3 linked regions of the Sus scrofa genome follow. The protein of the gene in region 2 interacts with the protein of the main gene of each other region in a pairwise test. Links are inferred from orthologs where the notes say so. Each region holds a gene or a part of one and is shown on either strand. Other genes may lie near its edges.

Evidence for each region. The genes of interacting proteins can lie anywhere in the genome.
Region 1: the proteins of PACSIN1 (region 2) and COBLL1 interact in binary tests that used the Homo sapiens proteins (3 or more experiments, as listed by UniProt). The link is inferred for Sus scrofa from reciprocal best matches to the Homo sapiens genes PACSIN1 and COBLL1.
Region 3: the proteins of PACSIN1 (region 2) and EHBP1 interact in a two-hybrid assay, tested with the Homo sapiens proteins (2 studies listed by BioGRID and IntAct). The link is inferred for Sus scrofa from reciprocal best matches to the Homo sapiens genes PACSIN1 and EHBP1.

Annotation. Positions count from the first base shown.
Region 1 is NC_010457.5:71,494,837-71,499,851, reverse strand, and holds the start of COBLL1 (cordon-bleu protein-like 1), read left to right. Parts: upstream 1-1,566; 5' UTR 1,567-1,633; coding exon 1,634-1,872; intron 1,873-1,938; exon of another isoform or gene 1,939-2,043; coding exon of another isoform or gene 2,044-2,102; intron 2,103-2,374; exon of another isoform or gene 2,375-2,552; coding exon 2,553-2,667; intron 2,668-2,692; exon of another isoform or gene 2,693-4,059; coding exon of another isoform or gene 4,060-4,091; intron 4,092-5,015.
Region 2 is NC_010449.5:30,458,175-30,463,428, forward strand, and holds the start of PACSIN1 (protein kinase C and casein kinase substrate in neurons protein 1), read left to right. Parts: upstream 1-1,676; 5' UTR 1,677-1,933; intron 1,934-5,254. UniProt on the Homo sapiens protein: Plays a role in the reorganization of the microtubule cytoskeleton via its interaction with MAPT; this decreases microtubule stability and inhibits MAPT-induced microtubule polymerization.
Region 3 is NC_010445.4:79,258,442-79,263,413, reverse strand, and holds the start of EHBP1 (EH domain-binding protein 1), read left to right. Parts: upstream 1-1,523; 5' UTR 1,524-1,654; intron 1,655-4,972. UniProt on the Homo sapiens protein: May play a role in actin reorganization. Links clathrin-mediated endocytosis to the actin cytoskeleton. May act as Rab effector protein and play a role in vesicle trafficking.

The sequences.
Region 1 (5,015 bases), on a different chromosome or scaffold from region 2:
TTTCAGTCCTATGACACCTCCAGCTTAATGTAAATCTTTGTGATTGCAGCAGCAAGGGAAGAGAGCATGGAAAGTCAGGCACTGGCCCTTAAGGAATTCTACCAGGAAATGAAATATTTCGTGTCTGCTTACATTTACTTATCAAAACCAGTTACATCACCATACCTAATTTCAGTGGGGTGGAGAGTGTAATCCTCTTCCACACCTAAAACCAGGAGGAGGATAGGAAAAATTGGTAAGCATTCAAAAAGCCTCCAGCAATTATGAAATGTTATGGTAACATTTTATGTTTCAGATTAGACTAATGGAGTCAATAAAATTACTAGCATGTCATAAATTAAGGTTGAAACTAAAGTTTAATCTTCATTTGGTGACTGAAATTTATAGACTTTAGGTTTCACTATTACTCAATGTTTACATTATTGTCTGTGTGAGCAACTGTAAAAGCTAGTCATTTAGAGGTATAACTGGTTCATGAAATTGTTTGAAGACTAAAATCCAGATGGATTTAACTGAATTGACTAATATATTAAGTAAAATATTAAACAGCAACTTTTTCTGATATGACTCCAATATTGTAATCCAAATAAGCTACTTTTTCCCCTTTTCATATGTAGAAATACAATGAAAGGAATATATTATGCATAGGAAGGAATAAATAGTAATTACGGTCCATAAGAGACAAAAGGCACATTGGGTATTTAGTATGTTAGTTTCAGCAATCCTCTGGGTTGCCACAGTGGATATAACTTAAAGAGCCTTAGTCAAACTTTGGTTTAGTCAAATGTTGGTTCTAAGTATCAGTTTAACCCACCTACCAAACTTTATTCTATCAATAGGGTGAAGTGGTTAATACAGATGGGTTGTTTTTAACAGCGCAGCAGAAGCCTCCTAAAAGATGGTCTTTCGTCTAATCTCTCTACTGGTTTATTGAAGTATTTCCGTTTTAAAGTGTAAAGTTAATTTCTAATTTCAAGTTGTATTCCTGAATGTAAGCTTTTGGACCAATCAAAAATGGCTTGCACCTTACAACAACTGGCACACAAGATATGCAAATATACCTGTTTGTCAGGTGTAAAGGATCATCTAAAGGCCTTGCACGTGGGAAAACGTGCAGTTACACAATTGTGTCTGATTTCTTCCTGTAAAACTTTCGAGGTGAATAAAACCTATCATTTGAATCTTAGTTCATAGATTGTCACCAGATATACGTCCAGGCCTCACGTCACAGTTATTATAGGCTTAAAAATAAAAAAAAGAAAGAAAGAAAGAAAGAAAGAAAGAAAGAAAGAAAGAAAGAAAGAAAGAAATATGCCTCTGAAGACAAGGCAAGCTTAAACATGCCACCGCGTAGAAAAATCACAGTGTCACGGGTATGCTTTTAACAGAAGAGCAACTTTAGAAGTCAGGTTGGAAAAAAACAAAACAAAGCAAAAAAAACCCACCCTGGATGGGGGAAGGTGAGACTGGAAGGGAGGGCAAGCTGCCGGCCCGGTTCTTCGAGTTTCTCCCGGCACTTCCACGGCTCCTGGATCCTCCCCTCGGCTCCTTGCGGGGCAGGTACCCTCCCTTCCTCCCCACCTGTCCGGCCCAGGCGGGCCAAGCTTCCCAAAGCGACACCCTAGCGGTGGGAATGAGAACACACTGCGCAGGAGCCTCCTTTCCGTTCGGCTTCCCCAACTGGACCCCAAAGCCCTTAAGCCCCAGGGGAAGGAAATTACCACTCGGTCCTCGCCCACCCCCCACACTTTTCTCTCTCCGGCTCGCTGCTCGTTTCACTCCGATGCCGCCGAGCCCCGTCGCCACTTCTGAGTGGCCGACTGGCGGAGGCGGCTGCTGGCTCCCGGGCTCTGGTCAGGGAAATGGGGCAGGGTGAGTGAGCCGGCCCGGGGAGAGGCCAGGCGGCGCCGGCACCCGCCGGTGAGGTAGGGGATGCGAAGCTGCGGTCCGGTCCGCGCTGGACTGAGCCTCGGAGAGGCAGCCGCTCTCTCCTCAAGCCCTGGCTGGAGAGCCGAAAGCGAGCGCCGGGTCTAGAGGAGGGACATGTGGGAGAGGAAGCCGTGGGAGAGAACAGGGAGCTACTGTCTCCTTTTGAAAAGAAAGTAGGAGCCCTGGGTGGGAAAAGAGAAATGAGCCCTCCCAGCTTTTTCTTCGTGAAAAGCTTCCCCAGGGCGTTTTGTTTGTGCAAACTTGGCCGAGGGGGCCCGGAATCGCACTGCCGGCGTGGCGACGGCGGTGCCTGTGCGCCTCGCCCCTCGTCCCGTTCCTCCTCCTTCCAGCCCGGGCAGCTCCGCTCCCTCCCCGAGAGGCGCCGAATGGCTACCCAGTAACCCCAGGGGCGGGGGCTACTGCGCCGCCTCCCTCCGGCCGCTAGACCCAGCGGCGCGCCCACAGGCTGGGAGCCCGGCCCGCAGGTGGAAGCGCACCCGGGAGGCGGGCGGTCTAACCCAGGGCTCGGGCGACTCGGGCGGGCTCTTGACGCGCCGCCAACCCTGCTCAGGCCTCGGGAAGGCGTGCGTCCCGCCCTGACCCGCCGGCCTCTCCCACTACAGCAGTGACGCGCCGCCTCGGAGCCAGAGCCCGCGCAGCACCCAGCAGGGCGATGGACGGCGGAGTTCCGAGCGCGCAGGACGCCCTGGCGGCGCCTCAGCCGGCTGCCCCAGCAGGGTGAGTCTCCAAGGGCCGACCCGGGAGGGAGAGGACGAGGTTTGCCCGGGCTCCAACCAGTTACCTGGCTAGCAGCTCGCCACCCAGTCGGCGGCCTGATTCACCCGCAGTAGGACACGCGGCCAACGAGGCGGCTTCCTCCAGGCTTCCTCGGAGGCCGCCCGGGGACGGGGCTCGGGTAGTTTTTGATTGCTTTCCTACCGGGGCTTCTCTGAGTAGCTGAAGGGCAGCTGAATGCCAGGCATTGGGTAAGAAGTCCGGGAGCAAAATGGTAACAAAGGGCCCATTGTTGGGGCTGTGGGAGAGAGGCGGAGGATACCTGTAAGTGAACTCCTGGGAAGGGGAAAAAAGTTTTCTTGGCCAAGGGCTGAGGCCCAGCAGGTGAGCACTGTCAAGGTGACTGTAGGAAAGGGGCCTTCGGCGACCGGGTGGAGGGCGACAGGAAGGTGTGCCAGCTGTCAGTCCGCATGACAGTTCCGGGACGGGCAGGTTGCGCGCCTCGGATTGGGGGTGTGTGTGCCTCTAGCCAATTGCTGGTGCCAAAGCCTAGCGCAGAGTCAGACTGCAAACACGATACTTTTCTTTGTATTCGTACACGTTTAAGAGAGGTTGGAGGGGAAGGGGCTGTCACATGGTGAGTTAATATTAAATGGAGCACGTCTTCTTGCCAGATATGCTAATAATCACCTTGCTCTGTCTTTGGGTAAACAGTAACGAGAACAGGTAGTTCTGCAAGAGATGGGGAGCACCGGAAAATAACCTTCGTCTTGGTAAACAGTGAAAGTTTAACACAGGCGCTAGTTGAGCTTGTGAAGTGGGAAGCCCTTTTGTAGAAGTGTAACTTTTTCCTTCAAGTGTCTCCCCCCAGCTCAATTTCTTTTCTGATAGTTATTCTGAACACAGAAAAGCATCCAAGAGAATATGAACAGACACGCTAAGGAAGAATCGACTGTGTAACTAATGAATGAGAGTTGTATAGTTTTCCTCATTTAGGAGTAGAGAAATCATTTTCCCCTGGAACATGACATGCGTTTCCTTAGAAGCAAGTCACAGCATGTTTATTCATCAGAGACCATTTGAACATTGGCAGTTGTCTAGAGGAAACATGGAAAAGTCTCAAAGCAACATGACTAATATAAAAGATATTTAGTATAATGCTTACGTAGAGGAAACATGTAGTGTATGAATTAATTCTTTCATTTTTTTGTTTCAATTAGTTATCTTCTCCCCTTTGCAAATAGTCATATTTCTGTTGACTTCTGTTTCTAATCTTTCCCCAGTTTTTTTATTTAAATATTATCATATATTCTTTCATATATTGTCACGTTAGGATGTATGAGGAAAGAAATACATTGTCAGGAAGAAATTAATCATTAAAGCGTGGACCTCTCAATGGAGCTGCAGGAATACAGAAATGTACTCAGGTACCCCCCAAAAAAGATAGTATTAAATTTGTGGATTTGCAAATGGATTAGATGTTCAGAAATCAAATAATATTTGTGGGTAAAGTAGGTGAGATCGGATGGCTCTGAGATGAAAGAAATAGAACTTTCTAGTGTTAAGCACCACTGTAGCAAGATACTTCAGATTTTACTTGTGAGAATGTAAAAGTTAAATGGAAATTCTGTTTAAAAAAATGTACAAAATTGCTTTAGCTGATTTCTCAAATATGAGGAAAATACTTTTTAGGAGTTTTGCCCTGCCATCTCCAAATCTAAAGAAAGACCCGGAAGAATACTTCTGCATCTCATCTAAAATAAAACCCCTCACTATATCATTTTGCTTTGGATTATTCTATTCAGAGAAGTTAAAAATATCTGAAAGGTATAAACATTTTAAAAATTACTTCTTTGTCTTCTTTCATTTGTTTGTATTGTTCCTGGGCATATCCCAAGTGCCTATTATATAATACCTGTTGAATATTTAGTATTCAGTGTTGCCTTTTTTTCCCCTGAAAACCCCAAAACATTTTTTTAAAAAAGGTTTTAATTGTGGGAAGAAATTATCCTAGATATGTGAATTTGGGAGGTGGCAGGGAGCAATCCCAATCAGTATGTTATAATAAATTGTTATATCTGGAAAATAAATTCTCTACCCTAAAAGTAATTAAATCATGATTTGTTATTCTAATAGCCTATGAGGCCTTAACTATGGATATTACTGCTCTAAAGAATCCCTTTGTATGTAATTTTCCAAGTTTTACATATTTGTAACAGGTCATTTTAAAGAAATGTAGTACAACTCCTTATAAGAATCCAGAGATCAGATACTGAGTGATTTTACTGAAGTCCCAGAGCAAATTAGTGGCAAAATCTGAAGGACTTTAGTTGCCTAGTTTATTGCATTAA
Region 2 (5,254 bases):
CCACGCCTGCCTCCTTGCTCTGAATGGCACAGAGAGTCTAGCAGAGGAGGCTTCTGACCGAGGGCTAGCTTGGGGCTCTAGGTGGGATGTGAAGGTCCCATGGAATCCCAGGTGGGTCAGAACTTAATGGGACTGAGAAAAGTAAGTTATTGGGGAGATATGAGATCAGAAAAGTACTTTGCTGGGGTTTGTTTGTCTGTTGTTTTTGTTTTGTTGTTGTTGTTGCATGTGTGGCATATGGAAGTTCCAGGGCCAGGAGTCAAACCCTCGTGGCACAGGGGAACTTCCAGGAAAAATACTTTGAAAAGTGAAAAGAGGAGTTCCTGTTGTGGCTCAGAGGGTTAAGAACCTGACTAATATCCATGAGGATGCAGGTTCAATCCATGGCTGCACTCAATGGGTTAAGGATCTGGCACAGGTTGCAGACATGCCTGGGATCTGGCGTTGCTGTGGCTGTGGTGTAGGCCAGTAGCGGGAGCTCTGATTCAACCCCTAGCCTGGGAATTTCCATATGCTGCAGGTGCTAAAAAGAAAAAAATAATAATAAAATATTTTTTTTTTTTTTTAAAAAGAAGAAAAGTGAAAAGAACTGGGAGAATGGGAGAAAGTCTTAGTTTCTGGATCTGGGCACAAAACACTAATGGAGGGAGAGGGAGATGGGGAAAGGAGTGGTTCAGCTTTGATGAACCTAAGTTTTGCAATCAGAAAATACAGAAGAAAGCTAGAATCTGGTGTTGCCCTGAGCTATGGTGTAGGTCGCAGATGTGGCCCGGATCCCCTGTTGCTGTGCCTGTGGCATAGGGTGGCAGCTGCAGCTCCGACTGGACTCCTAGCCTGGGAACTTCCATATGCTCAAAGAGCGGTCCTAAAAATAAGCATATTCTATAGACTGTTTGTTATATTTAACATCTGTCTTCTCTCACAAATACGAACTACCCGAGGGCAGAGATTTGGTCTGTATCATATGCTCTGCAGCCTGGCCCCTCATCAGTGCCCAGCACATAGTAGGCTCTCAATAGATAAGTATTGAATACATTCTTATAAATCCAAGAGAGCCCCCTTGCACGTCCGCAGTGTCCAGGCTCCCGGAAGCATTCAGGGTTCAAGGCAGCCAGAGTGACGGCATTGGGGGGGGGTCACAAGGAGCCCCCCAGAGAGCCCCAGGAGACGGTCCGGACTCTGTCGTGGTGACAGTAGGTTCACCTGGAACCAGGGCGGGAGGGTGAGTGACTGCCCCGTGGGGTCGAGGGGGCCCTTCTGGGCGAAGCTGCTGCGGAGTCGAGGGATTGGGGTGGGGGTGGGGTGGAGGAGGGGCCGTCACCCCTGCGCACCGTGCCTGGGGGGTATGTTTGGGGTATGTGTGAGCCGAAGACGCAAGATTATGAGAGGTCAGAAGCAGACAGACAGGGCGGCAGGGATGTCCTAAGAGGTGGAGAAAGGGCAGAGAGGGGGGAGAGGAGCGACACCTCCGCGTCCCGAGCGCTCCCGCAGGAGGGCTGCGGAAGAGGGTGCAGGGGCAGCGCTCTCGGCACCCGCCCGCCGCGCAGCCCCTCGGAGGAGGGCGCGGGCCTCGGAGCGGGGGGTGCGGACACCCGCCCCCAGACCCCCCTCCCCCTGCACCTCCTAAGCCGGCGGCTGCAGCCTCAGCAGCCGGGGCGCTTCCACCTGCGCAGACACGGCGCCGCCCTGCGCCGCGCTGCCATTGGTTCGCTAAAAATGCCTCTCTAATCTGCGCCCATCTGTGCACGCCTCCCGCCAGCCTCCCCCTCCTCCCTGGCTCTGACCTTCCTCCTTCCCGCAGCCCCAGCGAGATCTGGAGGGACGCGGCGGCGCAGCCTCTCTCCCCCGGGAAGAGGTCCGGGCTTGAGGCCGGGCCCGACACCCCGCTTTGCCCCGGGGCGCCGCGGATGGTGCGGGGCGCGCCTGCCCCCAGGTAGGGGGTCTGGCCCTTGGGTAGGAGGTGGGGAGGGAGGGCTCTCCTTCGCGAGTGCGTGTTTGCGGTGGGCGCACAGACGCGCATCTCTCCCCGCCAGAGCGCGAGGGAGCGTCGACCAGTTACCTGGGGAGAGGTGAGCGCCTGGGCCGGGGGGTGCTTTCAAGCGCCGGCTTCACGGGCATCACCCAGGCAGTGTCAGGATGTCCCTGCGCTGGGCCCTCTGCGAGAGGGAGCTGGCGTTTTCCCTGGGGAAAACGCAGGAAATAGGTTCCTTGGGGAGGTGGGACCCACGCCTGAAGTGGGGAGAGGGGGTGGGGGTCTGTCTCTGGCCTGGCTTGTTCCTGTACGGGAAGGGTAGGTGGGCTGGTGCCAGCCTGGTGCGTAGGCTATTTCTGGACCAGAGTGGGCTGGGGAGAAACACAGCAGCTGATGTGCGCCCTGTCTGGTTTACAATTAAAGCTATATGTATATTTTTTTTTTTAATTTTTTTCTGTTTCTCTACCCCTTCCCCCATTGCTGGGATGGGGCGGGGAGAGGAAAAGGAGGTGACTGATAAAAGGCCTGCAAATACAGCAGAAGCCACGGTCTGTCTGGCACTGCCCCCCCCACCCGCCCCCCGCCAGGCCACTTGCTGCCTGTTAGAACTCTCTCCTCCTTATTTTTGCCTTACAGGAGGCCCCGAAAAGATTAAAAGGTCGTCAGGATGGGAGGGACAGAGTGGCAAACCACAGAGCTTGGCTAGACCTAGCTTCAAGCCCCAGCTGCCCCCACCCTCCACCATCCAGCTCTGCACCCCACGTGCAGGGACACATGTGGCCGCTTTTCTCTGGGCGCCACCGTAAATAACTCACACTGCCCTGGCTTGGGCATAGCGGGGGTGCAAACAGGGCCGTCCCTGATTTTGGAGGTTCTATCCCTCACCACCTGGCTTTCCTATCACATGTCCATAAGCCATGCAGAAGCCACCCCCTCCAGGCTGCTTCCTGATTCCCCAGGTGAGAGAGATCCTTGCCTCCTGCCCTGGGTCCTCCTACCTAGCCTGCCCTGTGGCCTGGTTATTTGTGCCTTGTTGCCCACTAGACTGGAAGTGCTTTAGGGTGGGAATCTGTCTGATTCATCTGTCATCGTCCCTGCACCCCAGACCAGGGTCTGGCACCGAGTAAATGTTTGTGGAACAAGTGAATGAGTCAATTTGAACTCCAGGAAATAGCAGGCAACCTGAGGGAGGAGGGTGAGCCCCCTCCTGAACGTTCCTCCCACCCACCAGGACCAAAGTGCTACCTAAAGCAGACAGGCCCCTTTAGGCCCTTCCTGGTCCTGGAAGTGATGGGCAGCTGTGGCGTTTAGAGGCATCCCTGTAGTCCCAATGGCCCTGGAGAGTCTGGGGGCCTCCTGGTTCCAATCCCTGGCTGCCCCAGGCTTGGTGGAAGGCCCTGGGGAAGATCTGGCTCTGCTCAGTCCCCGGGGTTGGCCCTTTCCTCCAAGGGTGCCAACTCACACTGGGGGTCTCTACCTTTGGCCCAGCCCTGGGGAGAGTGCTGTCACCCCCAGCGAGTCAGAGACTGCCCAAGCCAGGCCACCCTCAGCCTCTGAGGTCCTCATGGTGAGTTCTGAACAGATCTTGGGATTGTGTGCAGAAGAGGAGGCGGCCAGCAAGGGATCTGGCCTGGCCACAAGGCTATGTCTGTGACATGGACGTTCCCAGAGCCGTCCCAGGCCTTGTTGTCCTTTGACAGCCATGCTGATAAGACTGCAAGGGGCTCTGTCCTCATCTCATGGAGGGGAGACGGAGGCCCAGACACGGCCGCCTGCAGCGCCAGGGCCGGCCCTCAGTTCCTGGCCCCAAGTCCTGTGCTCTCTCTGCTGGGCTTGAAGGAGCTGGGGCAAGACTTAAAGGTTCCTAGTGATGGAGAGAGTGCGGGAGCGATGCTTGCGGAGGAGGAAGTGGAGGATGGCTTACTTAGTGCCTGCAAGGGGCTGGCCCAGGGGGCCTTGCAGGGAGGGAGGCAGTAAAAACAGGAAAAACTAACAGGGCACAGCATCTGCCACGGGCTAGGTCCTCCGACTGCTTTTTTGTTTTGTTTTGGCTTTTTAGGGCTGCACTCGCAGCACACGGAAGTTCCCAGGTTAGGGGTCAGATTGGAGCTGCAGCTGCCAGCCTATACCACAGCCACAGCCACGCGCCACAGCCACAGCAACACAGGATCCAAGCTGCATCTGCGACCTACATCACAGCTCACCACAACCCCGGATCCTTAACCCACTGAAAGAGGCCAGGGATCAAACCAGCATCCTCATGGATCCTAGTTGGGTTAGTTAACCTTTGAGCCACGAAGGGAACTCCCTTTTCACATATTGACCCATTCAGTCTTCACCGCAGCCCAGCAAGGACGGTGCTGTTATTACCCCCATTTTACAAATGAAGAGACTGAGGCACTGCGAGGTTGTCTGTCCAAGGTCACACAGTTTGCAACTGGAGGAGCTAGGATTTGAACCTAGGCCCCAGAGTCCCTATTCCCTAATGCAGAGGGCTGTGGACCTTGCTGCTGGGGGCGTGTCTCTGTGGGGACAGAGGGGGCTCCATGGCTAAAGTCCATGCACGTGGGTCGTGTGTGCGTGATTAATAAGTGTGCCTCTGATGGTTGTGGATGCACAGAATAACAACAGCCATTTCAGCGAGGCTCCTTGAGGACCTACTGTGTGGCAGGCAGAGTGGTCTTTATAAGGCGCACATCTGAGTCTGCCCCGCCTCTGCTCTGCATCCTTTAGTGGCTCCCCATTGCCCTGAGGGCAGGCAAAGTGCAGCCTCCCAAATGTGGCCCTGCTGCCCTCCCCAAGCCTGGGCTTCCTCTCCCTTCTCATCCTCCCTCTGCCCCCAGTGGCCCTGAACTGCTTTCAGTTCCTCAAATAAATCACACTTCTCTCACCTAGCTGTTCCCCTGCCTCGAACACACTCCCTCCCCCGCTCCCCATTCCTTCTCACCCTCAGGGGTCTGCTGAGACCCTGCTTCCTTCCAGAAGCATCTACAAATTCCTCCTTGCCATACCTGGCTCACCTCACCTCACACCATATCCTCTCTGGCTTTTAATAATTGCTCCCCACCCACCAACCCGACTCCAGCTGTGGAATCCTTTGGGGCAGGGTCTGTGTCCTCTCCCAGGGTCCCCAGTGCCCGGCACAGGCTAGCCTAGCTCCTACTTGTGGAATGAGTTAGCAAATAGGTGTCCCCATCTGTATTTTCTTTCTTTCTTTTTTTTTTTTTTTGGTCTTTTTGTCTTTTTAGGGCTGAGCCTGCAGCTAGGGGTTCCCAGGCTAGG
Region 3 (4,972 bases), on a different chromosome or scaffold from region 2:
GCTCACGGCAACGCAGGGTCCTTAACCCACTGAGCAAGGCCAGGGATCGAACCTGCGTCCTTATGGATGCTAGTCAGATTCGTTAACCACTGAGGCACAGAGGGAACTCTGAAAGACAGTTTTCTGATGCAGCTTTTCTGAGCTTTCATGTCAATCAAAGAACTTGGTACTATAATGACAGATTAAAAAAAGGGCTGCCTTTTAGGAGAATAAACACAGGTTTCTAAGTTTGTTTGTTTGTTTTGAATTATTACTTTCACTTATATAGGAGGTACAGATCTCAATCTAAAAAAATTCAGGCTTGCAAGAAACATAATTTCATTTTTCCATAACTCAGCCTGATTTCTACAAGCTCCAATTTCACAAAGAGCGGCAGACACTTAATCATAGTCAATGTTGGCAGGAAATGCATCTAAATTGAGAAGACTTTTGTATGATTACTTTGTCAGAGGAAAGGGATGGGACATTTGATCTTTTCTCCTCCTCTACCATGCTGAGTCCCCTCAGATTTCCAATTTGTATGCTTCCTCATTGGCAGCTAGCACCCCAGATGGTTGCTGGGTTGATCTTGATCTGCCAGCAGGGTCCCTGGAGGCCTGGTGCCTTCTGCTGCCTCTGTACCCTTTTAGGTGCCTGGGGATCATCATATTGGGCTTCTAGAACCTCCACGTTACTATGGAATGTTGCACTGTCCATTCTGGTAGCTACCATATGCAGCTATTTAAATTTAAATTAATTAAAACTAAAGAATGTTAAAACTCCACTTCCTCATTTATGCTAGCCACCTTTCAAGTGCTCCATAGCCGCAGTGGCTAGAGGCCGCTGAGTTGGACAGCTATGTACAGAACATTTTGTTCATTCATCACAGAAAGTTGTATTGAATTGTGCTGCTCTGAGGTCTTGGCTAAACTAGACATATGGCCCAGGTTTTTCTTCTCTTTATGGTCTTGCCACCTCCCCAGGGCTCTAACAAGGAAAAATGATCTCTCTCAGCTCTCAGATCCCATAGATAGATTCCGCCATTTCAGTTGCCCTTCTCCAAGGCTTCTGCCAGAATCCAGTGAGAATGAGGGCAGTGAGTCCTGTTCTCTGGGGTTCACTAGAACCCAGCCTCTCATTACTTTTCACAAAGCTTCTTCTTCCCCTTCCAGTCCAGGAAATCCATTTCTCATCTCTGTGAAAGGAAGTCTTACCATTGTCTCTACCAGCACTGTCCAACAGGAAAATAAAGCAAGCCACATGTATAATTAAAATTTTCCAGGAGCCACATAAAAAAGTAAAGTACTGGCTGAAATTAATTTTTAATGTCTTTTTCTGGATCTAATAGATCTAAAATATTATTATTTCAACAGGTAATCAATATACAACTTTTTAATAAGATATATTTCCTTCATTTTTGCATACTGTCTTTGAAATTGGTATATATTTTATACCTACAACACATCTCAATTTGAACTAGCCACATGTCAAGTGTTCAGTAGTCACATGTGGCTAGAGGTTAGGATTGAACAGTACAAGCCTTTAACTGGATCCATTTCATTACTCCCTAAAGGACTAGGGTTTTGAAACTCAAAAACAAGGAAAAGTCCCTGCTTCTCTGCATTCTGTTCTACCGCTTTCCTGAAACAATGATCAAAGAGCAGCCTAACTGAGGGTGAGTGTGATGCTGAGGGTATCTTTGGGTGGGGTATAGGAGAAGAAAAGCCATAGGATAAAAAGAAGTAGCTGGGAAAAAACTACTACAAAAACCTCAATTAATATTTCAAAAGTATTAGCCTGCCGCAGTAAGTTTTTTAAGGATATAAACATTGCTGTGGGATTATCAGAGTAAAATTTGTTTGCTATGGATTTAAAAAAATAATTTCATTAGCAGTTAAAAATTGCAGTAATATTGTTGTGTATTGTATAGCTGCTATGGTAACTGGAAAACACAATACAAAAACCTGGTACTATTGTTGCAAGTAAATCTTATTATTATGACTAAGGCACAGATAAATTCTATTAGTAGTTAAATTCTGCAATAATACCTCTGACAATTATTACTGCAAAAACTGAAAAACCCAAGGACAAGAATTTTATTATTAGGAATGATAATAATTCAAGCCTGTGGTTGCCTTTCAGAGAGTAGAATCTCCATTTGGGGTGTTTCTGAAACAGTGACTAGCAAAGCTGCTTTATTGAAAATAATTTCTATCATTTCAAAGCTGTCACAACAGAGAAGATTTGAAGTTTTGGGGTGGCATTTTCCACTTATTTTTTTGTATTGTATCTTTACTGTAAGCCTGATGATATTTAAAGGCAAAATAGAAATCACTCTAAGTGTTGAATCTTCTGTTAAGTAAAAAATCTTTTGTAGTCAACACCTGGGTCAAATGGACCGGACAATTAAAGTAATTTGCATCCACAGGTCTCTCACATGCAGATTAAGCCTGGGTTGATAAATCAAGACAGCAGTAAACAGAGGATTAAAAAAGGGCAGAAGCATAGTGGGCAATTCCCCCTTGGAAGAAGGCAGGTAGTTAGGGGGAATGGAACCTTAAGAAGGTAACTTCTAGAATGCCATCTCTAAGGATATGTAGCATGGAAGGTGGTTGCAGGATTGAAGATAAGTGAATTCTTAGTAATGATTTTTTTAGCCTTTGTAAATTATTGCTGTTCCACTCTTGGTAATCACTGAGTTAATGGGAGACAATGTTAAAACAATTTGTTTTGAAATCCATTATTCCTTGAAGTAGGGATGTTTGGTAGCAATTAAATATTGCCCAAGTATTGTCGAAGTTCTATTTTTTGACCGTTTATTATTTGTTATCTTTTTATTGTATTTCCTACCAAACACAATGGTGTACATTATTAATAACCATTTATTAACTGTTTACTATGTGTCAGGCACTTCACATACTACTTTACATATGTATCTTCCATCTTCTCAACATCCCAGAAAAGTAAGCATGATTATTCGTTTGACAGAATATGAAGCTGGGACTCAGAGAGGTTAAGAAATCTGTTAGTTTCTTTCATGTATGCTGAACATCTGTTTCTAAAAACTCTCTGAGAACGGGGACTGTTATCTTTTTTTTTTTTTTTTTTTGTCTTTTGTCTTTTTGTCTGTTGTTGTTGTTGCTATTTCTTGGGCCGCTCCCGCGGCATATGGAGGTTCCCAGGCTAGGGGTCGAATTGGAGCTGTAGCCACCGGCCTACGCCAGAGCCACAGCAACGCGGGATCCGAGCCGCGTCTGCAACCTACACCACAGCTCACGGCAACGCCGGATCGTTAACCCACTGAGCAAGGGCAGGGACCGAACCCGCAACCTCATGGTTCCTAGTCGGATTCGTTAACCATTGCGCCACGACGGGAACTCCGGGGACTGTTATCTTTTACGCACAATTAATAGCATTTAATACGACCAATGCTCAGTTGGTGTTCAGTATCAGCTAAGTGGACCAAAAAATCTTGAACTATTCTGTATTTAAGGTTCTCCAATAAATTTATTTAGCAGACAGTTTATTTTAAAAAAAAGTTATGAGGGAAGAAGCGGCTGCTCTATATTGGACATCTAGGAGCCTGTGAACTTGAGCTCAGCAACAGGACAATGTCAAGGTCTGCTTTTAATTCCTTCGTTTCTAAACTTGATTTCTTCTTAGCTACCTTTGCAGCTAGGATGAACAAGAAGCATTTACATCCAAGAAAAATCCCCTAAAATGAATAACTGTCTTATAAGAAACTCTTTGCCAGTCTCTTGAAATTTTTCACAACTTGAGAAAGCTTCCCTGTAAACCTATACACTTCTTTTTTTCAAGGAAGGGAAAGAGTATTAAAAGAAACCAGGATAGATGTTCTCCTGTGGTGCAAAGGGTTAAGTATCCAGTGTTTTCACTGCAGCAGTCATCTGGGTTGCTCCTGTGGTGCAGGTTCTATCCCTGGCGGGGAACTTCCACATGTCACAGGTGTGGCAGCACACACACACACACACACACCCCAAACAAGATAACCACATGAGAAAGTTTGAGAACTTCTGAAGAACAATAATACTAGAAAGGATGCAAAGTCCTCCTAATTATCATGTGGGTTGTTCCTGAATGGCAAATTAGATTAAAATAGTTATGACCATTTCTATAAATTAGCCACTAAAGAAACCCTCATACACTTAAAATCTTTTAATGATGCAGAATATATCACTATATGAGATCATAATAGCTATAGGTTGTAGTGACTTAGTAAACTACTCAGGAAGGGCACCAGAGAACTCTTTGATTCCACAAAATAAGAATCAATATATTATGGTTATTTTAATATTTAAAAATTAAGACTATAGTAAAATAAGTGATATCTATGCCCATTTCTGTAAAATGTACATTGTGTTCTTGTGGTATTATTAGATCACTTTATTGCAAATGGAAATAGAATTAGATACTAGATTCAAGCCTTCTATATCTTCCCATCTCTCCTGATTATTCGGTATCTCTCCTTTTCTTGCCGCCCCATGTCTTCAGATGAGCTCAAGTTCTCCCCATCACTGCCCTCCTTCCAGTCCTTCCAAGAATACTGCCCTAGATCCTAACACCTTTCAAGCTACTTTGTCCATACTCCCTACTCTCTATCCTTAGTAAGATTATAAATGACCTTTGTTTCCAGGATCCAGCTTGCTTATTTTCTTTTCATATTTTAGCTTCCCTTTCTTTTTTCAAACTATTGCCCATTGCTTGTAGGGTGCTGCTACTTTTCTGACCATTCCCTCCTCAGTCTCTTTCTCGTTAACCTGGCTTCTTCCTCAAATGTTGGGATTCCTGCCAGATTTCATTCTTTGTCCTCTTTACACCAGAGGTCTGTGAACAACCTAAAATTGAAAGCAAATTTTTGTGTTTTATGACAGGACACATTTCCCTCCTTGGGAAAGTATCTATAGCTTTTATCATATTCTCAAAAGGGTCCTTGACTCTTTTAACAAGGTTAAGCGCCCCTGTCCTCACACCC